Linked DNA regions of Oryctolagus cuniculus. The main gene of each other region encodes a partner of the protein of the gene in region 3 in a complex. Links are inferred from orthologs where the notes say so. Each region holds a gene or a part of one and is shown on either strand. Other genes may lie near its edges.

The links.
Region 1: FLCN (region 3) and LAMTOR5 share a complex: the UniProt entries of both Homo sapiens proteins name them as parts of the lysosomal folliculin complex. The link is inferred for Oryctolagus cuniculus from reciprocal best matches to the Homo sapiens genes FLCN and LAMTOR5.
Region 2: FLCN (region 3) and LAMTOR2 share a complex: the UniProt entries of both Homo sapiens proteins name them as parts of the lysosomal folliculin complex. The link is inferred for Oryctolagus cuniculus from reciprocal best matches to the Homo sapiens genes FLCN and LAMTOR2.
Region 4: FLCN (region 3) and FNIP1 share a complex: the UniProt entries of both Homo sapiens proteins name them as parts of the lysosomal folliculin complex. The link is inferred for Oryctolagus cuniculus from reciprocal best matches to the Homo sapiens genes FLCN and FNIP1.
Region 5: FLCN (region 3) and LAMTOR1 share a complex: the UniProt entries of both Homo sapiens proteins name them as parts of the lysosomal folliculin complex. The link is inferred for Oryctolagus cuniculus from reciprocal best matches to the Homo sapiens genes FLCN and LAMTOR1.

What each region holds. Positions count from the first base shown.
Region 1 is NC_091438.1:59,943,720-59,949,381, forward strand, and holds the start of LAMTOR5 (ragulator complex protein LAMTOR5), read left to right. Parts: upstream 1-2,063; 5' UTR 2,064-2,160; coding exon 2,161-2,195; exon of another isoform or gene 2,196-2,940; coding exon 2,941-3,002; exon of another isoform or gene 3,003-4,896; coding exon 4,897-5,014; exon of another isoform or gene 5,015-5,662. UniProt on the Homo sapiens protein: As part of the Ragulator complex it is involved in amino acid sensing and activation of mTORC1, a signaling complex promoting cell growth in response to growth factors, energy levels, and amino acids.
Region 2 is NC_091438.1:42,634,296-42,639,827, forward strand, and holds LAMTOR2 (ragulator complex protein LAMTOR2), read right to left. Parts: upstream 3,411-5,532; 5' UTR 2,553-3,410; coding exon 2,485-2,552; intron 2,238-2,484; coding exon 2,075-2,237; intron 874-2,074; coding exon 784-873; intron 554-783; coding exon 497-553; 3' UTR 379-496; downstream 1-378. Other genes in the region: UBQLN4 (ubiquilin-4), read left to right, coding at 3,653-3,760. UniProt on the Homo sapiens protein: As part of the Ragulator complex it is involved in amino acid sensing and activation of mTORC1, a signaling complex promoting cell growth in response to growth factors, energy levels, and amino acids.
Region 3 is NC_091448.1:66,243,056-66,248,838, reverse strand, and holds the start of FLCN (folliculin), read left to right. Parts: upstream 1-1,963; 5' UTR 1,964-2,099; exon of another isoform or gene 2,100-2,681; intron 2,682-4,323; 5' UTR 4,324-4,516; intron 4,517-5,570; 5' UTR 5,571-5,576; coding exon 5,577-5,783. UniProt on the Homo sapiens protein: Multi-functional protein, involved in both the cellular response to amino acid availability and in the regulation of glycolysis.
Region 4 is NC_091437.1:20,301,324-20,306,357, reverse strand, and holds part of FNIP1 (folliculin-interacting protein 1), read left to right. Parts: intron 1-614; coding exon 615-2,034; intron 2,035-3,191; coding exon 3,192-3,360; intron 3,361-5,034. UniProt on the Homo sapiens protein: Binding partner of the GTPase-activating protein FLCN: involved in the cellular response to amino acid availability by regulating the non-canonical mTORC1 signaling cascade controlling the MiT/TFE factors TFEB and TFE3.
Region 5 is NC_091432.1:63,583,689-63,589,388, reverse strand, and holds the start of LAMTOR1 (ragulator complex protein LAMTOR1), read left to right. Parts: upstream 1-1,806; 5' UTR 1,807-2,015; coding exon 2,016-2,057; intron 2,058-5,700. UniProt on the Homo sapiens protein: Key component of the Ragulator complex, a multiprotein complex involved in amino acid sensing and activation of mTORC1, a signaling complex promoting cell growth in response to growth factors, energy levels, and amino acids.

The DNA.
Region 1 (5,662 bases), on a different chromosome or scaffold from region 3:
CGTGGATCCTGTGAATGGAAATGGGCTGGTAAGCATGAAATGTACATTGGATTTTGAAAACTTTATGTTGAAAGGATATTTTGGATATACTGTCTGGGTATGTAAAATATTTTCTTAAAAGTTAATTCACATGTTTTTAGACTTCTCTGATGTGGCTACCAGATCATTTCACATAAGGAGTGCCCTGTCATCTTATTTCTGTTTGCAGGCTGCCTAAGAGGTTAAACACATACACACACACACGCACACACCAAAAACCCAAGGCTGCACCTCGCAGCCCGGTAAAACGTTACACACCGAGTAACCACAAGGGGGCGGTCCTGCAACGCATGACCAGCAGGAAGCAGGCTGGCTCCCCAGCCAGCCGTCACAACTTGGTTTCCAGTAGTTAGTAAGTACTTCACTTACATGTCTGATTGCAATCTTGTGAGGTCAGCTTTTAAATCCTTTTTCCTAAAAATGTCTATGGTCCATATTGTGTTGTCCTTTACCAGAAATAACTCTTCTAGGGCAGGAATCCAAAACCCTTGAAAAGCAACGCACAAAGTGGGATTTGAAGGAAGCTGGAAGCTCCCCTCTGACCTCTGGGAATGAAGAGGGACTTTGCCCTCCAGGCTGAAAGCGCCCTGAGCTGGCCATAGTCAGCAGGGAGCCCGGGTAACAGCTGCAGGTGAGAGGGCTCAAGCACGCTTCCGGTAAGGCGAGGCTTAGCAGAACTGGCAGGACACACAGGTGCGCTCCTGTTTTCACCAAAGTGCTACCATCTGAGTGCACGCTGGCACTACCTCTGTGCCAGCAATTCACGTCCATCAAGTCTTAAAAACAACCATATCCTTTGGCCCGGTAATTCCACTTCTAGTAGCTTACCAGGAAAATTTTAAACTGCACAGAGATTTAGCCAAGAGGATATTCACCCAGCAAGCTAGTATCCAAACTGTACATTAACATGGAGTTGGTCAAGTCAGTTAAAGCACATACGGCTGAGACATGGAATATTTTGCAATTAATAAAAACTAAGTATTTATTTTTAAATATTTTATTTATTTGAAAGAGCTGCAGAGAGAGGTAGAGACAGGGAGAGAGGTCTTCCATCCGCTGGTTCACTCCCCAGATGACTGCAATGGCGGAGCTGTGCCGATCCAAAGTCAGCAGCTTCCTCCGGGTCTCTCTCGCCAGTGCAGGGGCCCAAGGACTTGGGCCATCTTCTACTGCTTTCCCAGGCCATAGCAGAGAGCTGGATCGGAAGTGGAGCAGCTGGGGCTCAAACCGGCGCCCATATAGGATGCTGGTGCTTCAGGCCAAGCCTTTAACCCACTGTGCCACAGCACCGGCCTCAAAACTAAGTATTTATTAACACGAACAGACATTTATGCTAAAACCTGTGCAAAGGCTCAGCAAAGGAATCATGTCCAATATTTTTTTTTTTTGCTTAGAAAAGAACAAAAGCCATTTAGAGCATACCTCTGCAAATACATCCACCTGAAAGGGACTGCAGTCACTTCTGGCAGTGGAAGTGTGGGAAGTGTGGCTGGTTTCCTTCCTTTATTTTTAATCTTGGCTTTGACAGCTTGTAAAGCTGTTTTCAGGGAGTGTCACCCCAGTCCTCCTTATGCGTTAGGTATCACACGGCACCTTCTGGCCCCAAACCTTCCTGAGCCCTGATCACAGGAAAAGCAGTGTCTTAGTTAAAATTCCAACACGTTTTGCCAGCGCCCCGCTCCGGGTTTTACCCGCGGGCCACCTCGTCCTTTGTCCCGGGTGTACGCCCTTCAAGGAGCCCGTGGCTCCTCTGGCCACTTGCTCCATCCCGCCGGGCCCGCAGGGTTACTGTCAAACACCATCCTGTCCTTGGGTCTCGGAGTCGTTTGCACTGAGACCAACGGACAAGAACCATTGGGCCAGACTGCAGGCCAGGAACTGAGGCGCTGGGGCCTGGCTGCAGACTCTCACCCCGCGCAGCCCGAACCCTCAGGGAGACGGGAGCACGGCTCGGCGCCGTCTTCCGGGAGAGAACTCGGACGTGGCGCCGCGGCGAATTTTGTCCCATCGGCGGCGCCGTCGCGGGCAGCGGAAGGCTCGCGTCACGTGACGGAGGCCCGCAGTGAAGCGGAACGCGACGGCTCCGGGGGCCCGGGCGGGGGTGCGCTGCCGGCCGGCGGGATGGAGGCGACCTTGGAGCAGCACCTGGAGGACACGTGAGCAGTGCGGGCCTCTCCGGCCAGTTCTGAGGTCGCAGCGCGGGTTACGTGCGGGACAGCGGGCGAGACCCGCGAGCGCCGGAGGGCGGCTCGGGGACGCCGTGCCACCCCAGAAGGCTGGCCGAGGGGACGGGGCCGGTGGCCCGAAGTTAATATCCCGCTGGGGCCCGCAGCCTTCCTCTCGGGGCGCCGTCCGCAGGATTAGGTCGTTCAGGAGGGTGTCGCAGGTGTGCCGTCGGCCGCACCGGGTACACACACACACAGATCGTGTGTGCGATCTGTCATTTGGTGTTTAAGGAAATACCTGTTCCTTAAATGTGTTAACGTCTGTGTAAACTCAAAGCTGCAAAAGTCTAAGGTGTACGTGCAGACACCACCCTCCCAGCCACTCCCTCGTCATCCCACTTCCCTTCCGGGAGGCAACGCCTCTTAGTTTGTCCAGTTGTCTTACCTGAGCTGTTACGTAAAGCGTGCGGTTAGAACGGCGAAAAACCCCGCATCCGAACTGTTGCGTGCGCCTAGGCTTCCCAAACCCAGCAGATACTCATTCTTCTCTGCAGCTGGCTTCAATTACTACTTTAATTTTGCTCGGGGTTGGGGAGTGTGGTAGGAAAGAGGTCGAGAAACCCATTTAAAGCACTTAGGCAATGCCTGATAGCATGGCAGGCCCACGGGCGTCATAACCGTTTGCATCCACTTTCTCAAGCCCTCTGCCTCACCTCTCCTGTGTTTCTGGAATTAGGATGAAGAACCCGTCCATTGTTGGAGTCCTGTGCACAGACTCACAAGGCCTCAATCTGGGCTGTAAGTATCTCCTGCCAACCCTTTGCTGGACTGCGCCACACCTGGTGTTGACCAAATAGTATTTGAGTCATTTCAAACTGGGCCTAGACAGGACTCGCCCATGAGAGCTGTGAGCATGTGCTGAGCCATATGCGAGGCTCCACCTGCCTTGCTGCACTTTCCACAGTATCCCTGCATGATGGGTGGGTGCAGTGTTCTAGTCCAAGTACACCAACAGTGAAAATAGGAGATTCTGAGTTTGGCACAGCTGAGTTCAAACACTCCCCCCACCCCCACCCCGTTCTTTCATTTGCTAGTTGTGTGAACTTGGGCCTAAATGAACCTTTCAGGAACTTTTTTTTTTTTTTAATATTTATTTATTTATTTGAAAGAATTAGAGAGAGGGAGAGACAGAGAGATCTTGCATCCTCTGAGTCATTCCCCAGATGGCTATAATGTCCAGGGCTGGGCCAGGCCAAAGCCAGAATCATCCAGGTCTCCCACAAGAGTGGCAGGGACCCAAACACTTGGGCGATCTACTGCTTTCCCCAGACCTTTAGCAGGGAGCTGCATCAGAAATGGAGCAGAAGGACACAAACCGCTGCCAATATGGGATGCCGGCATCAGAGATGTGTCATGGCACCGGCCTCCATGGCATAGCTTCACTGGGCTCTTGTTTACTGAGACTAGTGCTTACAGAATTGCGTGCTCTTCCTTGAGTTCCAGGTACCATTCTAATGGTAACTCACGCACTCCTCCTAACAACCAACGTGAGGCACAGAGGTAAAGTAGCTTGCCTAGGGTCATAGGGCGGTAATTGGCTGAGCTAGAAATGGTGTCAGGGTCCAAAGCCTCTTCAATCACAATGCCGTGAGATTATATAATATGCTTAAGACAGTGCACACCCAGATGGAACATGCTCAGAGAATGACAGCAATCACAGATGAGGAAATGATAGATAAGGAAAATGATAGATAACTAGAGCATTTAGTTAATGTCAGAACTAGTAAACCCAGGACACGTCTTAGTGCAAGAATTTTTAAAGCTCTGAATTTTTGCTGCAAGGGTAACAAAGCGGTAATCTATAACTCAGTTGCTTGGAGAAAAAAGGCAAATGTTTTGACGCTTTTGCCAGACTCACTAATGGAAATACTGAAATGAAGTGTGAAACTCTATTAGAGTTGCTTCAAGAAAGCTTCAAGGTGCAAAAGATGGCGCCGTGCTGGTGAGTTGCTGTCAGGAAATCCCTCTGCCCACCAGCCACAGGCACGGTTCTGCTTGGCCTGCCTTCATACACACATACAGGACACAGTAAACTCAGCAGTTACATTTTGTGCTTGGGACCCAAGGTTCCGTTATCATATACAAGCTAAAGCAGTCAGGAGTAGAAGACAATCGTGTGGGCATTTGAAAACAGCCAAGTAGCTATGCTAGCAGAAATAACTGCTCACAGAATGTTCACACGTGCCATCGAGGAGATCTGAGACTGCGTGACTCCTCAGGAGAGGAAATCCGCTTTCCCATGAGGAATGAATTAGCTTCAGCAAGCCTCTTGCGCGTATTGACTGCTTTTTGTCAATCTCACCTCTAAGCTTTTTGTTTTCGCAAGGTTCCTATCCAGTGAATTTATGGTTTTCAGAGTGACCTGAATTACAGCGTCCTGGTATGTTGAAGCTGTTTACAGATGGTGATAGGTGTGTCAGTTATAGCTTACTGATTTATTGATTTTTGTTGCCCGGCTTTCTCACTGATGTAACCACTGAGCGTCAGGGAACAGTCACTTCATGTAAGCACCAAACTTAAAGGACCAGGACCTGAACCTCCTCTTTGTGAATCATTCAGTGAGATACTGTTGCTCCAAACTTACTTGTGGCTCACCAGGTGCCCTGATACCATCGTTCTCTCTCTCTCTCAGGCCGTGGGACGCTGTCAGATGAGCATGCTGGAGTGATCTCTGTTCTGGCGCAGCAAGCAGCAAAGCTAACCTCTGACCCCACCGACATTCCTGTGGTGTGCCTAGAATCAGATAATGGGTGAGTAGAGGCCTCAGATCCTTTCCTTTCTGTTCAGAAAAACCCCTGGACAACTTGACTGAGGCCTGCTCTGTGTTCCTCAGTGACTCCATACTCAAAGTATGTCGGAGCAGGTTCTTGACCCTTTGGGCCATGGGAGCAGACAAGAATCTTGGAAGCCAATGTGCTGGCAGACCACAGTGACACTTAAATGAAGAGTAAACTGTTATTAGTCTCCCAGGAAAACAGAAGTAATTAAGTACCACAAAAGAAAACTAATCAAAGCATCAAGCCTTTTTTCTTTTTTTTTTTTTTTTTTAAGATTTATTTATTTGAAAGAGCTACACAAAGAGGGAAAGAAAGAATCCTCCATGTGCTGGTTCACTCTTCAGGTGGCCACAATGGCCAGGGCTGGGGCAGGCCAGAGCCAGGAGCCTCATCCAGGTCTCCCACATGGGTGGCAGAGGCCGAGATTCCATCTGCTGGTTCACTCCCCAGATGGCCAGAATGGTTGGAGCTGGGCTGATCTGAAGCCAGGAGCCAGAGCTTCTTCCAGGTCTCCCACGTGGGTGCAGGGGCCCAAGCAGTTGGGCCATCTTCCACTGCTTTCTCAGGTGCATTAGCAGGGAGCTGGATCAGAAGTGGAGCAGCTGGAACTCCAACCAGCGA
Region 2 (5,532 bases), on a different chromosome or scaffold from region 3:
TAGGTTAGGAGCCATCCTTCCAACCCCAGAAAGAAGAAAAGGCAAGCCCCTCGAAGCCCAGAATGGCCACTGACCTCTCAGGGTCTGATATGCTCTTGTCCAGCCTGTGCCAGGAGCCCACTCCCAACAAGGTTGCCAACCAGGTAGCTAAGAATCTGCTGTGACCTCACCAGGGTAGGTGAGGTCACAGCACTGGAGAGGCCAGGAGAGCTGAGGCACCTCTGCCAAGAACCATTTGGTAGCGGGAGGTCACAGGGAAGGTGCAGGTGGACGCCCATTCTTGCAGAACACAGGACACCCTGTACGTGGCCCCTGCTCCTTCCTGCCTCCTATGATTCTTCCCATCCAAAAAAAAAAAAAAAGCCAAGACACAAGACAGGAGCTGAATTTCATTCTTGAACAACAACAACAACAAATCAAAAACCACAGTCCCGCCCTCCCCCCATGGTCTCTATGATGCTGACCCCATTCTGACCCCAGCTTCCACCAATGTCCATTATGATGCAGCTACTTGGGTCAGGGGCTCCTCCAGGTACTGCACCAAGGCCTGGGCCTGCAAGAGGGGGGGAAGAAGTCAGTGTCGCAGATGCCTGCCACTTGACGGATCCCAGTTCTACTCCCAAGGCCGCCCCTCAACCACTCCCACCTCCCTCCTGCCCACATCAGACACTAATTGAGCTGACGGAAGGACTTGAGAGCGGTGCGGTGCTGTGGGTGGGAGTGGACACAGTGACGGAGCACAACAGCGGGCCCACAGCTGCGGCAGGATGGACATGTACACACCTTGGCCTTGAGCATGCCGAAGCCCACGGTCTCCTTGGCATACATACACAGCAGAAGGTTGGCCACGCGGGTGATGGCTACACGGCCCTCCTGGTAGGGGATATGATGGGATGGGATGTTCTGTTTGACACTCACAGGACCCGCCTTCCCCGAGGGTTCCTGACTTAAAATGTATGTCTCGTCTGGGTTGCAGTCACATTTGAAAGTTACTGCTTTAAATAGCACCAGCTCCAGCTAGGCACCCATAGGAGTCACCTGCTGAGCCAAAATGGCAGTGGTGAGGTCAGGGGGGGCAGGCAGCCAAGTTACAGTGGAGACCCTTCCTGGTGCACGCACCCTTGCAATCTGTTCATTTTGGTTCTGCAAACCTTTACTAGGTGTCCGCTGTGTGCTGGGAACCAGGCACCACAGCCCCTGTCTTTCTGGTCCTATCTCCTGCTACCCTCCCGCGACTCAGGCCAAGCTTGCTGATCCTAGTCCAGGCCCCACTCTGTCACAGGACCTTGGTACTTGCTGCTCTGTCAGAGGGCCACATGACTGGACCCCCACCACCCTCTGTCCTTTGATCAAACATCGCCTTTTCAGTGACACTGGCCCTAACACACGCCCTCCATACCCTCTTACTTCCCTGCTTTGTTTTTCTCCATTGCATTTCATACGGTCCAGACCAGATAGTCTGCTTATTTTAAAACACATGTAAGGTTGTAAGCTCCACCAGGAATGGGGTTTTTGTCTGTCCTGTCTGTATGCCCCCTCTAGTCCTAAAAGTCCTGCAGGACCTAAATGGTCGTCACCTAAGAGATTCAGAGAGGAGCGAAGCAGTCCCTGTTCCCAAGAAAGTCACAGTGTAATGGCCACTTCTCCTGTCCGGGTCTGGAGACTCCGCCATGGCCCTGCAAGTCGGTGGCGCTGGGTGGACACGCTCTGCGTCTGAACAGCTCTCTACGGTGTAGACCCATTCTTTCATTTGATTGTCAACAGTCCCGAGGTGGGGGAGGATGGCTCATCACCTCCTGCTTGGAGATGAGGGAAGTGACTTACCCAAGGTTTCACCACTGCTAAGTGCATGGCAGAGACCAGAACCCAAGTCAGACCTGAGGTCCGGGGCTCCTTCCTCACCACCGCTGGGTGCTCCCGGGCCTGCCTATCGCAAACGCTGCTGCAGGACCAACTCTTAGCAATCTCTCGGAGATTCTGTCCCTGCCCCAACAATCATCCAGGATGGGGGCCAGTTCGCCCCCTGGGAATCCCCTTGGTGGATGGAGGAAGTCTGGCTCCCCTCTCTCCGTACCATGCAGTCCATGAGGATGAATTTAAGGTTGTCTTCGTTAAACGCCTGGTTCCCGTTTCGGTCATAAGCTGCCCAGATGTTACTCGCGATGGCCGCGGTGACCCGGGCGTCCGTGTCTCCATAACCCGAGTAGGCCAGCAGCGATCCCTCGTTATTCAGCAGCCTGGCGAGAGACAAGGATGGGATGTCGACATGCTCAAACGCCTGGGTCCCCGCCCCGACGCCCGTATCACTGGCGCTCCTACGAGGCAAGGGGCTGAGCTGAGCGTGTCCCGGAAGGCGTCCCGAGCCCCCAGCACGCTGGCTTCCCTTTCCAGAGGCGCGCTCTCGGTCAGCTGCGGGTCCCCTCGGCCGCCTCCCTTCCCCGCCCCACTCCGCTGCCGCCGCACGGGTCCACGGCCCGCACTCACAGGGTGCTCTGGACGCCTCCGGTGTTGGCTTGGCTTAGCACCTGGGTCAACGCCTTGGGACGCAGCATGCCAGCGGCTCGTCACCCAGCCTTTAAATCCCAGATCCTCCGAGCGGCGTCCCGCTTAGCCGCGGCCTGCGGCTTCCGGCAGTGCAGCGACCCGCTCGGGAACGCCCTGGGAGTTGTAGTTTTCCGACCCCGTGACAGCTGCTCTGGCCCCACCCCGCTCAGCCGCGGAGGGACTGGGAATCGTAGTTCCTGTGGTCTCGCAAGGCACACTGGGAACTGTAGTTCGCCTCCTCAGCTAGACCACGCGGTCGTGGGGGAAAAGAGCGGGAGTGGAAGGGCAATGTGGCAGGGTTGGGAGGACGTTTAACCCCTTGGCGGAGAGAGGTCATCATGGCCGCTTGGCTACTCACGAAGCGATAATAGTAGTAATAAATCCTCGTATTTGTCGGGCACAGCCTGGGTTACTTCTCAGAGCGGTTTTCTACGTTAGGCACTATTCTGTGGGATGAGGCAAGAGATTCTGTTTTCTTGAAACCGAGGCTGGAACGGTGACGCCGGCAACACCCAGTTCTCGCACCGTACAGAACAGGCCATTCAGGCCGTGGGCATCGGGAGCAACAGGGTCACTCCCTGAGTGGAGGCTTTAAGTGGACGTCCCGCGGGGAGAAAATTCAGACTCCCGGTGGAGCGAGGCCCCAGGCCTGGAAAGGAACTTGCACCGCCCAGGGAAGACCAAGTTATCACAGAAAAAGCGGCCACGCAGAAAGTCCTTTGTCCGGGAGCAGGAGTAACCGCGGAGGGGAGGGGGCGGCCCGGGGTCGCAGGGCACGGCGGCGAGGCTCGGGCCGGGCGGGGGTCTCTCGCAGGCCCCCGCCGTGAAGGACACGCCCTCCGCGCCCAGAGGCCCTCGCCACCCAGGCCGCGTCCCGGCGGCCGGACCCCAGGCCGGGCCCTGGGCGGACCCCGCTGCAGTGGCCCCCCCAGTCCGCCCGGGGCGCTGTGGCTGCGGCGGGTCCGGAGGGGGCGGCGGAGCCGCGGCGAGGGGAGGGGAGAGGGGAGTGTTGGAGGCGCCGAGCCGAGCCGGGCCGGCCGGCGGGCGGGGAGGAGGAGGAGGAGGAGGAGCCGGGCGGGCTGGCGGGCGGCCGGGTGGCGGCGGCGGCATGGCGGAGCCGAGCGGGGCCGAGACGAGGCCCCCCATTCGGGTCACCGTCAAGACCCCCAAGGACAAGGAGGAAATTGTGATCTGCGATCGAGCCTCGGTCAAGGAGGTAGTAGGGCTAGCGGCGGGCGGGGGGGGAGCGGAGAGGGAGTGCGGAGGAGGGGGCTACGAAGAAACGGGGCGGGGGGCCTCCGTGACTGCCTGGCGTCCGGGACGGCCCCGGGGAGGAGGGCGGGGGCCGGCGGGGACTCGCGTGGGCAGGAGAGGCGGATATGGGGCGCCCTGCGCGGGCGGGTCTGGGGGAGTGTGGCGCGTGCTGGGGGGAGCGGGCTTTGCACTGGAGCCGGGGCTGGGGGCGTGGTGGAAGAGTGGGTAAGGGGACACCTTGCGCCGGCCCCCGGGAAGCACCCTGGGGCTGAGGGGAGTGTGCGCCCCTGGAACTGGCCGGGGTTCGAGGCGCCGAGGCGCAGTGGCGGCCCCGGCTAGGTGCTGGACCCGTAGAGCGGGTAGGGGGCAGGCGGAGAGCGCCCGCGTCTCCTGTGTGGCCCGGAGAACGCCCAGAGTCCGCCGAACGCAGGGCGCGGGGTGGGGTGGAGGATGTTCTCTGCCCTAGATCCTTCCTGCTCTTTAAGCCCGAGGTGGTCACACTTGGTTTTCAGCTCTTCTGAGATTTGCACAGTGTGCAGTAGGTGCTCCATAAGGTTTTGTTGAATGAGGGACTCTTGCCTGCGTTCGCCACCCCCCTGTAGTTGCTCCAGAATTTCACATAGGCGGGGCTTCAGGATGGGCCATCTGGTTGGAAGAGAGGGATTTGGAAGCTCCCTTTGCTTATTAGCAAGTGCGCCTTTTCTACTCGGAGTGTGCGTTGGGTTGGGTTGGGCTTTGCAGGGACTGAGAATTGAACTCTCCCAGCAGTATAAAATGACTGAATTCCAGAAGAGGGGTCCCTGCAAAGCTGACTTTGAAAACAGCTGGAATTGAGAGGCAAGAGTGTCTGGTCAAGACCTGAGTTCCAATCTGCCCAGGATGTTACCTAAGCTCCCTGCTCTTCCGTTTTCTGATCTTGAACACGGAGTTAATAATGAAAATACCGGACCATTAACTCGTGCCTGGTTCGTGCTCAGTGGCTGGACCTTGTTGTTGCTGTTGTTGAGAGAGCTGGAAGTCAGGAGAGGCGGGACGCTGGAGCGGGGAGAGGAGAAGGCTGAAGAAGCGCCAGGCCGTAGAAGGAGTTGATGGGGCAGTTGCTCAGTCTGGGGTACAGATAGCTGTGAGGGCTTCCTCGGGTGGGAGACTGGGATGGCGCTGAGAGAGGAGCCTCTGACTGGCTTATCTTCCTGGTTAAGAAAGAAGCTCCCTGGGAGGCAGCAGGCGGCAGCTCAAGTCCTTACCTCTCACATGGGAGACCTGGGTTGAGCTTCTGGCTCCTGGCTTCAGCCTAGCCCAGCCCCTGCTATTGCAAGCACTTGGGGGGTGAACCTGTGGCTGGGAGCTCTGTTTGCTCTGTTTGTCTCTCTCTCTCAAATAAGTAAACAAAACTTAAAGCAGGTAAGACACCTGTTGGGATGTCCACAGTCCATTTTGGAGTGCCTGGCCTGGCTCCATTGCCAATTCCAACTTCCTTCTCATGTGCACCCTGGAAAGCAGCAGGTGCTAACTCAGGTGGCTGGGTCCCTGCCACCCACCTGGGAGACCTGGATTGAGTTTCCAGCTCCCAGCTTCTGCCTGACCCAGCCCTGACTGTTGGGGACATTTGGGGAGTGAACCAGTGGCTGTCTGTCTCTGTCTTTCAAATAAATAAGATAAATAAACTAACGGGGTGGGGGGCTGCTTATCGAAGCTGGAGGGGTGGGGTTGAGACAGCCGAAGGGACTTCCCTTT
Region 3 (5,783 bases):
CGGCCCCAGCTGTTAAGTTCTTACAGATTCATGTAATTTGAGTAAGCATCTCTAAAGGGTAGGCAGCCATTGGGATACCGGCATCTGGCTCCTGACACAGCTGCTCCGCTTCCGAACCAGCTCCCTGCTAACGTGCCCGGGGAAGAAAAGCGGCAGAACTTGGCCCCAAATGCCTGGATCCCTGCCACCCATGGGGGAGACCTGGATGGAGTTCCAGGCTCCTGACTTCAGCCAGGCCCAGCCACGGCTCTCTGGGGAGTGAACCTGTAGATTCTCTCACTCTACCTTTGCCTTTCAAATACATGAACTAGATCGTGTGTGTGTTGGGGGGAAGATGGCAGCTAAAGCCTGGGGAGTTGGGAAAGATACTAATGGCCCAAATCAGGCTACTGTGACTGAATGGCTTCCCCTCATTGGAGCCTCATCAGCCGATGGCATGGAAATAGTGGAATCTGGACCGGGACTGAGAAAGGGAATTCCTGGAATTAAAGTTCCAAGATGGGGAAAAAATTGTCTTTAAGCTTAAAACGTCACCAATGAGTGTTCGTTTCAGTAACACCTTTTGGTAAGAGAAAAACCAGGAAAAAACATTCCCAGAGTTTGAGAGACCAAAAACCTGATGGAAACAAGACTGTGCAATTAGTGAATGTAGAGTAATTAAAAAGATTTGAGATTTATTCAAGTATCAAAGGCAGCGTTAGAACGAGGACAGACGGAATCTTCCCTCCGCTGGTTCACGACCCAAATAGCTTAGCGGCAACAGTTGGGGCTGGGTCAGGCACGAGCCAGGAGCTTCCTCCAGGGCTCCCACCTGGGCGCAGGGGCCCGGGCACCTGGGCCACCTGCTGCCGCCTTCCCGGGCATATTAGGGAGCCAGATCAGAAGTGGAGCAGCCGGTACCCCTATGGGACAGCCGCACTGCAGGCGGTGGCTTTACCCGCTAGACCCTAAAGAATGGAATTTTTAACCCTGAACTGTCACCTTTATTCCTTGGAACAGCAGAGAGAGACAGGGAGAGCTTCCATCCGCAGGTTCGCCATCTGGATGGTCGCAGCAGCTGGGGCTGGGCCAGGAGCCGCGCACCCTGCGTGGGTCTCCCACGTTGAGCAGGGACCCTCCCCGAGCGGAACCCGGGCAGCGCCCTAACCACGGCTCCAAACGCCCGCCCCTCCAGGGTCTCCTGCACTCTCCAAGCATCCAGCGAGCTCCTGCGTGGCTGACAGCCGAGGAAAAGCGGAATTCCTGGCACGGCTGCGCTTCGGCGGGCCCCGCTCTACCCTCGATTCGGCTCGCTAAGCGCAGCGGCGGGGCTGACCGGGATCAGGGGAACGTGGGTGGCGGCCGCCCCCGACCCCGGGACCTCCGCCCGGGCTCCGTCACCCCCTCAAGCCCGGAGGAGCACCGGAGGCGCCACGAGTTTTACAGACTACATTATGGAATAACTGATATTCGGTCAAAACAAACAATTTCCAAGTGTGGCTCCAACGGTTCCGCGCAGGGAACCGAGTCCCGCGCATGCGCACCGGCGCCCAGCCGCCCAAGCCGAGCACCGCCCCTGTTGCCTGACGGCCGCCGCACCTTCCACCCTCTTCGCGAGGATGGGGTTTATCAGCTATTTAGTGAAAACCGGCGGTGAAACTAAAAGGAGTTACAGCAGGTTTTTACGTTCTCGTCTTTATTTTTCTGTCTTTTGTGGGCAGAAAGTCTAGGATTGGCTCTATTTCCCCCTCAAATCTTTTTGTTTGGTTGGTTTTTACATTTTAAGCACCCCCACACGTTTGAAATGGTTTTGTCCAGCAGCGCTTGCGGGTACGGTTTAAACCATTCTGTACTTCTCTGAGAGGGGGAGCGGCGCAGCGGCGTGGAAGAGGAAGGTGTCGGGTTGGGAAATTCCCGCTGCCACTAGACTTCGGAGTTACGGGGGCGCGGGCCTTCGTTCCCAGACCCAAGGACCTGGTGGGGCCTCGCTCGCCTCGCGGTGCGGGGTGCGCTCGGGCAATCCGGGCGCCCCCGCGGCGGGCATGGGCGGATGGTACGGTCCGACCCAGTCACGCGCCTCTGGCTTGGCGCCGGGGCAGCCTGGACTGAGGGGACCGCGGGTGAGTGTGGCCGCCCGGGTCTGGGCGTCTCCCCCTCGGGGTCGGGCCCGCCGTGCAATGCGGCCGCGACCACCTGTCCCTTAGGGCCGGCTCCGGCCTCACCTTGACCTGTCCGGCGGGGACGGCGAGGGCCCGGCCGAGTGTGGGGCGGGCAGCGGTGGGCGAGTGGCTTGGGGCGTTGCGGAGAGCTGGCGATGTGGAGGGAGCGTGAGGCCACATCCTAGCTCCTCGCGGGAGGAGGAGGAGCCGGGGCCGTTGTTTGGTTCCGATTTGACGTTGCCCTGCCTCTCTCCCGGTGCCCGCTGCTCCAGCGCCGGCCCGGGTTTGCCCTGGAAGACCGCAGTTCTTCCTAGGGTTGGTGGACGTGGCCGAGAATGCTTGGTCCAGCGAGGTCAGCAGGGGGTGAGAAGCAGCGTGCCGTGGACACCCGGCGCCACCCCGGTGTCCAGCCAGGCTGGTGGGGGGGACCTTTGTCACTGCAGAGAAAGGCGGCAGCCGGTGGCACTGGCTTATCACTGTTGTCATCGCGTCCTTGAGTAACCCTGGCACGTGACCTTGTGTCTGCTGTCCGCGACAACCTAGGTGAGGGCAGCAGCAGTGGTGCCCGCGGGTTCCAGCCGGAAGGAAGCCCCGAGGGAGACCGGTTAGGGGCTGCTGCATGCTCACTGCGGGTCACCTGGCCCCTGCTGGATCTGCGGGGGCTCCTTCAACCCCCTGTGGGCCTCTGGGATCCTAGGGAGCTGGGGGGGGGGGGCGGTGGCAGGGGGGGAGAGTGTGGTGTGGCGGTCCCGGCCAGGCTGAGGAGTCGGGACACCTGCTTGTAGGGTGTAGAGCTCACTGGGCAGGGGAGGCTGGAGTGGAGCTAGAGGAAGGCAGTGGAAGAGAGCTTTATTTGAAAGTCGGAGTTACACAGAGAAGGAGAGAGAGACAGAGAGAGGTCTCCGCTGGTCATCCGCTGGTTCACTCCCCAAATGGCTGAAATGGCTGGAGCTGGGCTGATCCGAAGCCAGGAGCTTTTCTGGGTCTTCCACGTGGGTGCAGGGGCCCAAGCGCTTGGTTCATCTTCCACTGCTTTCCCAGGCCAGAGCAGAGAGCTGGATCGGAAGTGGAGCAGCCGGGACTCAAACCGGTGCTCTTTGAATTGGGTCTGGATTTTTTTTTTTTCCTGGGCCTGGAATACGTTGGGTGACAACGTCTCTGGTGCCCGCTCCGGCCTAGGCAGGCTGGAGCAGGTGTGCGTGGGGTGGGGCAGAGGGCTGCCTTGGTCTGGGTGTGTGGCTGGAAGGAGCCTTTTTTTTTTTTTCCTCCAAGGAAGGCGTGGCCCCCTTTCCAGGCTCTGGGGCAGGGCATCTGTGTCTGCTTTTGTTTTCCATCCTATTAGCCCTGCCTTGACCTCCTGGTTCCAGTTCTGGTTCTGGTCCCGGTCTGGTCCATGGTCACCTCCCATGTCTCCTCGTCCGCTGTGGGTCTCAAAGCCCTTGACGAATGTTCTTGACCTCACTGTCATGGAGCCCCTGGGTTCTTTCTTTAAACTCAGTCCATCGGCTCCTGTGCCACTGGACTGTCCCTGCGGTGGGCACCTCCATCTACTTCCTGTGCTGACGGCTGTCACCTCCCCGTGGGCAGCCCCTAAACCTGTTTATTTATCCGTCACGTGCTCTTTGGGTGCCCTGTGTGTCGGGAACCGCTGTAGACACCAGGGGACAACGTCTCTACCTGCTGGAAATTTTATTTTTATTTTTTAAGATTTGAAAGGCAGAGATATGGGGGGGAGAGAGAGAGAGATCAATCAATCTTCCATCCAATGGTTCGCTCCCCAAATGGCTGCAACAGCTGGGGCTGGGCCAGGCTGAAGCCAGGGGCCAGGAGCTTCTTCTGGGTCTCCCACGTGGGTGCAGGAGCCCAAGCACTTGGACCATTCCCAGGAGCGTTAGCAGGGAGCTGCATTGGAAGTGGAGCAGCCTGGACTCGAAGTGGCACCGATACGGGATGCTGGCACTGCCGGCAGACGCTTAACCTCTGTGCCACAGCGCCGGCCCCAGGAAATCTGGTCTTTGTAAAGGGGAAGTACACACAACCTGTTAGGAGACAGAAATGAGGCAGGGCGGGGGCAGGGCAGCTGTCCCGGGTGGGCTGGCTGGGGAGGCCTCGGACCGGGTACAGGGCAGGGGCAGGGCCGCGGGTGCCTGGGACCTTCTCCCCAGCCCTGCCCTCTCATCTGCAGTCGGTGTGGCCACGGCCTGCTCCAGGCGTCCCGGCTGAGCCTCGGGCCGTCTGCACTTGCGTCACCTGCCTCTGGGAACACCTCGGGCCAGGGGCCGGAGCCTCCGCTCTCCACGCTCACTCCCGCCCGCTTCTCTTCCGTTTTGCCTCTGCCATTGCCAGCCCCTGCTGCGTCCGGGTCCGCGGACGGCCAGGTGGGTTGCCATTGGTGGGCAGGCACGGGTGTGGGCTCTGTTTCTCTGACCTTGACCTCTGCTAGGGCACCAGTGACCTCCCTGTTACTTTGCAGGGGATCCCTGCCCACTGTTTTTTTTTTTTTTTTTCTGTCCAAATTGTGCTAAAATGCACATAAAGTGGACTATTGTCAGCACGCAGCTGTGTGTTGCTGAGTGATGGAACCGCCAGCACAGGCTGGCTCCAGTGCTGTCCACATGCCGGGCTTAAACATGAACTGCCCAACCCCCTGGCACCATTGCCCCTTCCGTCCCTGTGGATCCCACCACTCGGAGCCCGAGCCCCACCCCCACCCCCAACTTGGATGTGTGAATTTCAAAGTTCTTTTTGCACCAAAGGAAACTTTATCCTTCCCTTCCAGAGGTAAAGTCCCCCGTACAGTCTCGTGTCAATTGGGCATTGCTTGTCCTTTTGTGACGGGCTCCTGTCACCGGGCTTGCCATGCTGTGAGCCAGCCTGCACGGCCTCTTCCGCTGTCGTCCAGGTCTCCTGTGTCATGTTGGAGCCTCACTCTCCGAGGCCCCAGGGGTCTGCATCCTGGGGCTTCAAGACCCCTCCTCTGGGGGCCTCTGCCAGCCCCACTGGCCCCTCGGAGCACTGGACTGGGCAGGTTCCCGTGCCCCTCCCCGGGGAGGGCTGCTTCCTCGTCCAGACTGGGAGGCGCTCAGCAGGTGCGTGCTGGGCAGGGGTCCACTTGAAGTCCACTTTATGGACCTCTCAGTCGCCCTGGAGTTTGCGGGTCCCTGCAAGGGTAGCTGTCCTTCTCCTGTGCTGTCTGCCCCGGGGCCCTGTCTCAGTTCTGCCCGGAGGGCCTTTGGTGCGGCCATTCACCCCCACGCCCCCTCTCGTGGCTGCCTCTGGGCCCGATGGGATCTGGCTTCCGTTGTCTGTGCTGCCCCTGACGTGGCGCTGGGTGCAAAGCGGGTGCTGCCCCAGTGGTGAAGCGGGAAGTCCTAGAGGCGCCGGGGAGGTTCCGTGGGGTGCCTTCTGCTCACGGTGTCCCCTGCTCCCCAGGGCACCATGAACGCCATTGTCGCCCTGTGTCACTTCTGCGAGCTGCACGGCCCCCGCACACTCTTCTGCACGGAGGTGCTGCACGCCCCGCTTCCCCAGGGCGCCGGGAGCGGGGACAGCCCCGGCCAGGGCGAGCAGGCCGAGGAGGAGGAAGGCGGCATCCAGATGAGCGGCCGCGGCCGCGCCCACAGCCCCGCGGAGGGGGCCGGCGCC
Region 4 (5,034 bases), on a different chromosome or scaffold from region 3:
CTTTCAGAACTCACTCTTGGCCGGCGCCGCGGCTCACTAGGCGAATCCTCCGCCTTGTGGTGCCGGCACACTGGGTTCTAGTCCCGGTTGGGGCGCCGGATTCTGTCCCGGTTGCCCCTCTTCCAGGCCAGCTCTCTGCTGTGGCCCGGGAAGGCAGTGGAGGATGGCCCAAGTGCTTGGGCCCTGCACCCCATGGGAGACCAGGATAAGTACCTGGCTCCTGCCATCGGATCAGCGCGGTGCGCGGGCCACAGCGTGCCGGCCGCGGCGGCCATTGGAGGGTGAACCAGCGGCAAAAAAGGAAGACCTTTCTCTCTGTCTCTCTCACTGTCCACTCTGCCTGTCAAAAAAAAAAAAAAAAAAAAAAAAAAGAACTCACTCTTGGTTTTAGAACCACAACAGCTATTTAAGGGGGAAGCTAGAAAAGCTTTCTCTTCATCATTCTCTCTAGTTAAGACCATTCATCTGCTCCTACTGTGCTGTATAGAGTAAAGAACTAAAAACCTCTACTGCCTCTTATACATTAAGAGTATGTTTCTCATAATTAAAAAATAGCATTTTTGACTATGTGAGGAGAGAGACGATGTGCCTATTAACTAATTTTTCCATTGCAGGAGACTTGTATGGCGCTATTGGCTCTCCTGTGCGGTTAGCGAGGACTGTGGTAGTTGGCAAACGGCAAGACATGGTCCAGAGGCTGCTTTATTTTCTTACATACTTTATAAGATGCTCTGAACTTCAAGAAACCCATCTTTTAGAAAATGGAGAAGATGAAGCCATTGTTATGCCAGGCACAGTAATCACTACCACCCTAGAAAAAGGTGAAATAGAAGAATCAGAGTATGTGCTTATCACAATGCATAGAAACAAAAGTAGTTTGCTCTTTAAAGAGTCAGAAGAAACAAGAACTCCTAACTGTGGCTGTAAGTATTGCACTCGTCCACTTGTTGGGCAAAACGCAGAGAGTGCTTCACGACAGGACGGAGAAGATATCCAGAACAGCTCTACAGAGCTACTGGGAATTTCAGATGAATGCCGAATGGTTTGTCCTCCTGACTGCCAAGAAGAAAATGTTGTTGATGTTAAACAGTGCAGAGATAAATTAAGAACTTGCCTTGACACCAAGTTAGAAACAGTTGTTTGCACAGGATCTGCTCCAGTAGACAAATGTGCATTGTCAGAAGCAGGCTTAGAGCCAACAGAGGAAACATGGCACAGTGAGGAACTGCTGAATTCAGATCATCACACAGATAAAGCATTGAGATCTACAGGAGTGGTCGTGGAAAAAAAACCTCCAGATAAGATTGTACCTGCTGTATTTTCTTGTGAGGCAGCCCAGACAAAGGTTACTTTTCTGATTGGGGATTCTATGTCACCTGATTCGGACACTGAACTCCGGAGTCAGGCAGTGGTGGATCAAATTACCAGGCATCACACCAAACCACTGAAGGAAGAAAGAGGGGCAATTGATCAACATAAAGAAACTAAACAAACAACTAAGGACCAATCTGGAGAGTCTAATAGACAGAACTTGATTTCTGGAGAGCCCTGTGAACTCCCCTGTTGGAGTCATTCAGACTCTGAAAACATGAGCTTATTTGATGAATATTTTAATGATGATTCAATTGAAACCAGGACTATTGATGATGTTCTAGATAAAACAAATGCAGACAGTAAAGAACACTGCTGTGTGTTGGAGTTTTCAAAAATGTTGTGTACAAAAACCAGCAAACAAAGCAATGAATTTTGTAAATGTGTAGAGGCAGTTCACCAGGATTCATGTAAAACCTGCTTTCCTCAGCAGGACCAAAGAAATACACTCTCCATTCTTGTCCCCCATGGGGATAAAGAGAGTTCAGAGAAAAAAATTGCTGTAGGAACTGAATGGGACATTCCAAGAAATGAAAGTTCAGACAGTGCCCTTGGTGATAGTGAAAGCGAAGATGCAGGTCATGATATGACTAGACCAGTCAGTAGTTACTATGCAGGAGAGCAAGAAGACTGGGCAGAAGAGGATGAGATACCATTTCCTGGGTAAGTAGGATGTTTTCCTCTTATAGTAGGTCTTATTTAAAAAGTCTGTAACATTCTTCTGTCTAGCTGGTCTCTGAAGGGTAGTAGTAGCTAATGTAGAAGAGATCATTGTCCTAGACAAATTGTCTTTTAGCATCTTGTAGTTTTACTTCATAAATGCTAAGCTTCACAAGCTCCCTAGGAAAGCTTTGTGAAAGCATCAGAAAGTTAAAGGACCTGGTTGATAAGTAGTTGTAATTACATACTGCTTAAGAGTTTTCAAGCCATTTTAAAATGAAGTATGACCCCCCAGAATGTGCAGAGTGAGTCTGGAAGTTATGGTGAAGTTCTCACTGAGAAGGTAGAAAAGGATCTGGGCAAGAACTAAGAGGAAAACAGGCAGTGTATACTCTAGATCACGTAGAAGGAGAGCATCAGGGATTGAGAAATGTTAGACACCAGCTTTGGAATTTAAGATATTTAGCTAGTTTATTTTGGATGTTCATTTTCTCAATATGATTATATTAAGAAGTGTTACAAATACAAGGAACAAGTCTCCTGAAATCTATTATGAATAGTAAGATTTATGCTCATATCATTACAAAGTTATGTATCAGGCCTTTTTTTTTTTTTTTTTTTTTTTTTTTTTTGACAGGCAGAGTGGACAGTGAGAGAGAGAGAGACAGAGAGAAAGGTCTTCTTTTTGCCGTTGGTTCACCCTCCAATGGCCGCCGCGGCCGGCGTGCTGCGGCCGGCGCACTGCACTGATCCGATGGCAGGAGCCAGGAGCCAGGTGCTTTTCCTGGTCTCCCATAGGGTGCAGGGCCCAAGCACCTGGGCCATCCTCCACTGCACTCCCTGGCCACTGCAGAGAGCTGGCCTGGAAGAGGGGCAACCGGGACAGAATCCGGCGCCCTGACTGGGACTAGAACCCGGTGTGCCGGCGCCGCTAGGCGGAGGATTAGCCTAGTGAGCTGCGGCGCCGGCCACAGGTCTTTTGATAAGGAGTATTTTGTAGTCTGAGCACTTAGACAAGTTTTTATTTAAGGGTGATGTTCAGAGTGTATTTTGTAGAAAATAATGTGCTAGAAATATGAACTGGTGGTGTATGCACATTTTTACTGGGAAATGTGTTTATTGTTAATTGGATATGCCTTATTTGGGAATCTTTCTTCCAGGTCAAAATTAATTGAAGTGAGTTCTGTTCAGCCCAACATTGCCAACTTTGGGAGGTCCCTGCTGGCTGGCTACTGCTCATCTTATGTGCCTGACTTTGTTCTTCAAGGAATTGGGAGTGATGAGAGGCTCCGGCAGTGTCTAATGTCAGACTTGTCTCATGCTGTGCAGGTAATAGCCATCTCTGTTCTTGAATTGATTTAGAATAAACTGATAACCAGTAGAACCCAGAGCTGCCATGTGTTCTTGGTCACACTTCACTGTTACACAGTCATTCTTTGAGTGTGTCACTTCAAGTATAGCACTTGCATGTTTGTACTGAAGAACCAAAGTGACTCCATTTTTAAACAATAAAAAAAAGCAGCCTCCATTTCCCATTGCAGACCGGGGTCCTCGTAAAAGCAGGCATTCAGGCATTCCAGAGATATCAAAGCTTACCAGGGACAGCTAGCTCGGTAGACCAAGGACAGCACAGTAGAGATTGCTGAACAAAGTAACTCCCTGTGCCCAGAGCTTCCGTGCTGTAAGCCCTGCTGTAACTCCCTGTGCCCAGAGCTTCCGTGCTGTATGTAACTCTTTTCCTGCTGATATAGCCCTTTTTTCCTTTAAAAACTCTCCCTAACAAAGACCGGGGCCTCACTCCTTCCTCTGCTGTGCCGGTTGGTTGGATGGGGTCCCTGTCACGGCTTGTACTCCCCAATAAACCTTGCTTTTGCAGTTAGGTGTGATCGACTCTCTGGGGGTCTCTGCGGGGATCTAACGATCTGGGCACAACCTACTTTTTGGTGCCCAACAGTACCTACACTGCGAAGGCAAGTAAGAGTTCCAGGAATGTGCCCAAATGGAAGATCTGAAATATAGCAAGTTCTTTATGTACTCATAGATGTTCATTGGTAGATTATTTATAACATTACAAAGTTGTGGTGCAGGCACTGTGGCACAGCGGATTAAAGCCCCAGCCTGCAGCAACAGCATCCCATATGGGCGCTGGTTCGAGTCCCGGCTGCTCCTATTCTGATTCAGCTCTCTGCTGTGGCCTGGGAAAGCAGTAGAAGATGGCCCAACTCCTTGGGCCTCTGAGCCCACATGGGAAACCCAGGAGAAGCTCTTGGCTCCTGGCCTCAGATGAGCTCAGCTCATCTATTCGATATAGCTCTGGCCTTTACGGTCATTTGGGGAGTGAACCAGCAGAATGGAAGACTTCTCTGTCTGCTGCCTCTCTCTCTCTGTAACTCTGTATTAGAATAAATAAAATAATTCTTTAAAAAAATGTGACTGTTTAAATGATAATGGGATTCTTAATTTCCCTTTGAAGTTATTTTTACTTACATAATAGAAGTACAGTTAAATTTTATATATTGTTCTTATGTCTTGTGACCTTGCTAAACTCTTTATTAGTTCTATTCCTTTTTTGTAGAGATCCCTTCAGTTTATTACACATAGGCTCATGTCATCAGTGAGCAGTTTTACACCTTCCTTTCTCACCTAGATGCTTTTATTTATGTTTTCCCCCTGACCCAAACTGCATTAGTATAGTGTTGCATGGATGTAGTGACAGTAGATGTTGTTTTCTTATTCCTGATCTTAGGTGAAAATACTGAAGTTTTTTGTTATTAAGTATGATATTATTTTTTATTTTTTTTAACAGGCAGAGTGGACAGTGAGAGAGAGAGACAGAGAGAAAGGTCTTCCTTTTGCCGTTGGTTCACCCTCCAATGGCCGCCGTGGCGGGCGCTCTGTGGCCGGCGCACCGCGCTGATCCGATGGCAGGAGCCAGGAGCCAGGTGCTTCTCCTGGTCTCCCATGGGGTGCAGGGCCCAAGCACCTGGGCCATCCTCCACTGCA
Region 5 (5,700 bases), on a different chromosome or scaffold from region 3:
CTGCTGCTGTCACCCGAAACCTGCAGCTTCAGTTACCAGTCTCGGGGACAAGCTGAAGCTTCTCCTGCCCTTCAGGATTCTTCCAAAAATTTAACTTCAAGGTCTTGATTTGAGAGGTAATACAAGCTGCTAGGTCTAGTATCCTCTCTTGCATCTCCATGGATCGGGATGTGGGGCACGGGATGAACCAAGGTGGTGGGAGATTGATTTACTCAAAAGCCAGTTTTCTGTAAGCAAGCGTTGGCTTTGGTCACAGAGAAGAGTCAGAACCTCTTGCCATCTTCCAGAAACTGCCAGGTTTAGTAGAAGACACCAACCCAGGAACAGAGAACATAGTTTGATCATTAGGTTGGATGCTGCATGAAACCAGGGACTTTGGGCTATTAGGTGAACTGCTGCATATTCAGGACCGTGTGTGGCACATAGCACTCAGTAAATTTTTGTTGATTTGATAATCAACACTGGATAAGGGTTAAGCACAGAGAACTGGAGATGAGTAGCAATGGGTCAGAGAAAGCAATCAAGGGGATATTGTTTGTGTTGAGACTTAGGAGTAGGCAGACCTGGAGGGAGGACTGTGTGCTGGGCTGCATGTGTGAAGTCCAGGTGGTCAATCAGGAAACCAAGCACTGAGGTTAGAGAAACGCCTCCCTCCCTCATTCCTCCCCTCCCACTCAGGGGCGAGGAACGGAAAGGAGCAGGTATCAGGCTATTCATGATACTGAATGGCACACTTGGACCTGGGTTAGGGGTGGAGAACACAGGGGAAGGGTTTTTTTTTTTTTTGTTATTATTATTAAAGATTTTTTCATTTCATTTGAAAGGCAGAGTTAGACCGATGTTCCATCCCCCAGTTCACTACCCAAATGGCTGCAACAGCCAGAGCTGAGCCTATCCAAAGCCAGGAGCCAGGAGCTTCTGGGTCTGCAACGTGGGTGCAGGGGGCCCAAGGACTAGGGCCATCTTCTACTAATTTCGCAGGCTATAGCAGAGAGCTTTCTATTTTTTTTTCTAGTTAATGATTTATTTGAAAGGCAGAGTAAGAGAGAGAGGCGAGATGGAGAGACAGCTTCCACTCACTGGTTCACTCCCCAAATGTCCACAAAGGCCTGGGATTTCCCAGGCTGAAGCCAGGAGCTTTTTTCCAGGTCTCCTACTTGGGTGCAGGGGCCCAAGGACTTGGGCCATTCTCACTGCTTTTCCAGGCACATTAGCAGGGAGGTGGATCAGAAGTGGAGCAGCCAAGACTCTAACCAGTGCCCATATGGGATTCCGGCCCCTTGGCTGCATTGGTCCAGGGGGAAAGTTTTAAGAAAAGAACTGGGGGAGGGGGGAGCTGGTCTCTGTTAAGTTATGATGGCAGCTGCAAAAAGATCAGAAGGTAAGATTAGGTGGCCTCTTTCTCTCTACAAGGCTAACCTCTACTTGGCTTCACCTAGTTAAGATATAAAGTCCCTTCTTTAAGTTGCAGATCTCCAGCACAATTTGATAACTGTCAGGCACCACACCCCAGTTGAGAGCCGGTAAGGGACCTATGTACGTGTTCCCAGACTGCATTCGCCCTGGATCCCACTCGCTCCTCTCATGGCATTTAGAAAAGTAAGTATATCATGACATTTGCTGTAGGAACTCATTCACTGGCCCAGAAAGGTGGCTTAGCGGCCATGTAACCACAAGGCACAATTCTCATAAGGACCATGACAACCAAAGTCAGAGGTTTCGAGCTTAAAGACTCGGCAAATAATTAAGTCATGTGATACGCCCCTCCCTTTCTTCGCATCACGTGCCTCGCGCCCCATCGCGCAGGATGCCCCTTCCCATTGGCTGACGATGGTCACGCGGGCAGGGGCGGGGCCGGAAGCCAGGCTTCGGCAGCGGCAGTGAGACGGGGTAGGCGTGGGGAGGGCTGCCGGTGGTTGCCTGCGGGAGGCAGCTACGGGTCATGTGACCGGAAGGGCTCCTGACGGACGCCGACCCTCCTCGGCTCGGCCTGAGCGCCCGGCCCGACCCCGGCCATGGGGTGCTGCTACAGCAGCGAAAACGAAGACTCGGACCAGGTGCGGCCGCGGCAGGCGGGGCTCGGGAAAGAGGGCTGAGGTCCTGGGGCACGGGGCCCAGAAAGAAATCTGCCGAGGAGTGGGAACCGGACTGCAGGGCTCACTGAGTACGGAGGCCTGGAGGGGACAGATTACGGAGGGGACGCCGAGCCGGACTCCTACCCTTCTTAAAGCCCTAGGTCTCCTACACAGTTCCCGCCTGGGGGGTGTGCATGCAGCTGTCTGTCCAGCTCTCTCCCACCCATTCCGTGTCCCTCTACTTCAGATCTTTACACTTTCACGCGTCTTCAACCCAGGTCCCTGGGAAGCACTCTCTCCCGAGCTTCCTGTGCCTTCTCTGTGCTAGTGTTAGCGGAGTGTGAATCCACTGTAGCGGTGGGTAGGCTGAGGCTCCGACTTAAGCTGTCCCGAGATGAGTCGGGAATTTGTGTATGCTCTTAGTCCCCGGGTTTAGAGAAGGGAGGTCACGCCTGGTCTGGGGTCCGAGAAGGCCGCTGGAAGTTGAGGACGTCGGGTCTTGCAGGAAATTGGGCAGCAAGGGCTCAGGTGTACCTTTTTCTGAAAAGAAATGGATGGGAGAGCTCCATTGTTTTGAGCTTGGCCTGCCTCGGTGCAGTCCCTGCCTGGGGACTGAGGGTTCCCCCAGCTAGAGGAGTGCCTCCCCTGGCCTTTTGACTCGTTCTGATCCCTTTGGAGAAAGGATTAGGCTGGGGAGAACTGACCTGTACAGCGTAAACTTCTCCATCTTCCCTTGGGTTCATCCGCACTTCTCTCCCCAGTTAAGCCCTGCCCGGCCACTTTGAGCAGGCGCGGATCTTTCCCAGGATGAAGTCCCAAGCTGCTAGCCAGCCGCTCCCCGTTTTGACTGCCTCTGTGTCTGGGTTCTGCATTTCAGCGCTGGCTCATAGCAGCAGAGACAGTGGAAAGCTTGCATCAGGTAGCTCAGCGTTTAGTGAAGAGATGGGCTAGCACCAGAACTTGGGAAATAGTTTTTTGCCTTTTGGTCCACCCTCCTCCCAGTGTGGGTGTTTTGGATTTAGGGCTTAAGCTCAGGGAAGGCTGCTGTGTGTCTGGGAGGCATGGGTGGCTTGGCTAGTGGGCTTCAGTTCTCCAAGCAACTCGTGTGTATGCTCCCGTTACTAGGCTGTGTGTTAAGCATGCCTCATGCCCAACACCTCTCACTTCACCTCAACCTGTTACAGTGTCCCTGCACAATGCAAGACCCATACATAACCTAGACTGTTGCAGAGAGTGAGTCACTGAGGGTTACTGCCCTGTGAGAAACGGCACAAGTTTACCTAGAAGGGAGACCTAGGTTTTCTGCCTTTTTCTTTCTTTCCTTTTTTTTTTTTTTTTTTTAAGATTTCTTTATTTATTTGAAAGGCAGAGTTATAGAGAAGCAGAAAGAGGTCTCCATCCTCTCGTTCCCTCCCCAAATGGCCACAGTGGCCAGAGCTGGACCAATCTGAAGCCATTAGCCAGTTGCAGGTACAAGGGCCCAAAGACTTGGGCAGTCTTCTGCTTTCTCCCAGGGCCACAGCAGAGAGCTGGACAGGAAGTGGAGCAGCCAGGATTAGAACCAGCACCTATATGGGAGGCTGGCACTTCAGGCGGCGGCTTTACCTGCTGTGCCACAGCACCGGCCCCTGCTGCTTTCTTAGTCTTTTATCTTTTCCCTTGATGGAGTCTCATTTCTGTGGGTTTCTTTTTTCTAAGTAATAGGAATTTATATCACATTCATTATTTGTGAAATACAATAAGGCTGCTTTATTTTTATTTATTTATTTTTGACAGAGTGGACAGTGAGAGAGAGACAGAGAGAAAGGTCTTCCTTTGCCATTGGTTCAGCCTCCAATGGCCACTGCGGCCGGCGCACCGCACTGATCCGATGGCAGGAGCCAGGTACTTATCCTGGTCTCCCATGGGGGGTAGGGCCCAAGCACTTGGGCCATCCTCCACTGCCTTCCCTGGCCACAGCAGAGAGTTGGCCTGGAAGAGGGGCAACCGGGACAGAATGCGGCGCCCCGACCGGGACTAGAACCCGGTGTGCCAGCGCCGCAAGGCGGAGGATTAGCCTGTTGAGCCGCGGCGCTGGCCTATTTTTTTTAAATACTTATTTATTGGAGAAGGAGAGGTTGTGTGCTGGCATCAGTTGGTTCACTCCCCAAATGCCCACAAAGACCAAGTCTGGATCAGCTGAAGCCAAGAGCCTGGAACTCCATCTGCATCTCCAAATGGGTGGCAGGGGCTAAGGACTTGGGCCATCTTCCATAGCTTTCCCAAGCGACCACAGGGAGCTGGATCAGAAGTGGAGCAGCTGGGGCTTGAACCAGGGCCCTTATGAGATGACAGTAGCTTAACCTGCTGCACCACGCTGGCCCCTCATTTCTGTATGGAGCTGTCAGGGAACGTGTATGATCCGTGTTGGGTGATTTGAGGCCTCATGTGACAAAGGCCATGATCATTGCTGCCTCAAAGTCCTCTTCCAGCAACTCTCTCCCAGTTCCATCTCTGCTCCTTATTATTTTATGAAGAAATATACAGGATATTACAATTCTCAAAGGGCTGGACAGTTACCTCATTTGGCTCTTGCCAAATGTATGTCATAAGATCTGGGTTATGGGCCGGCGCCGCGGCTCACTAGGCTAATCCTCCGCCTAGCGGCGCCGGCACACCGGGTTCTAGTCCCGGTCGGGGCGCCGGATTCTGTCCCGGTTGCCCCTCTTCCAGGCCAGCCCTCTGCTGTGGCCAGGGAGTGCAGTGGAGGATGGCCCAGGTGCTTGGGCCCTGCACCCCATGGGAGACCAGGAAAAGCACCTGGCTCCTGGCTCCTGCCATCGGATCAGCGCGGTGCGCCGGCCGCAGCGCGCCGGCCGCGGCGGCCATTGGAGGGTGAACCAACGGCAAAGGAAGACCTTTCTCTCTGTCTCTCTCTCTCACTGTCCACTCTGCCTGTCAAAAAATAAAAAATAAATAAATAAAAATAAAAATAAAAGGAAAAAAAAAAGATCTGGGTTATGTCTGTTTAAGGGTTAGGAAGGAGTTCAGAGAGGTTGGGTGATTTAGCCACGCTGAGAAGTGCTGTGGCCAAGATGTTTTGATGCCAAACCAGTGGGCTTTATTTTATCTCTTGGCCAAGCTGTCTTTTCCAGCAATGCTTACAGGCCAGGTAGCCAGCCATGGGCAGGCCACATGCATGTCTTTGCCAGGGTAGACAGTGAAATCCTACCCTTGGCTTATTTTGACCCAGTGACAAACCTGCCCCATGCTGTTCTCGCCCTGTGGGAATAGGATGATGATATTTATAAATTCTGAAGGAAGTAGCATGTCCTCTTCTGACAGGCCAGGTCTCAGGAAACAACCTTATTTTTTAAATATTCATTTACTTGTTTGAAAGGCAGAGTGAGAGAGACTGATTTCCTATCCAGTGGTTCATTCCCCAAATGGCTGCAAGAGCCAGGGCTGGGCCAGGCCAAAGCCAGGGGCTCAGAACTCCACCCAGTCCTCAACAAGTGCTTCATCTTTATCTGCAGCTTCACAGGTATGTTAGGGAGCTGGATCAGAAACAGAGTAGCTGGGATTGGAACCAATGTTGTGATATGGGATGCATGAGTCCCAAGTGGTGCCCAACATGCCCTGCCTC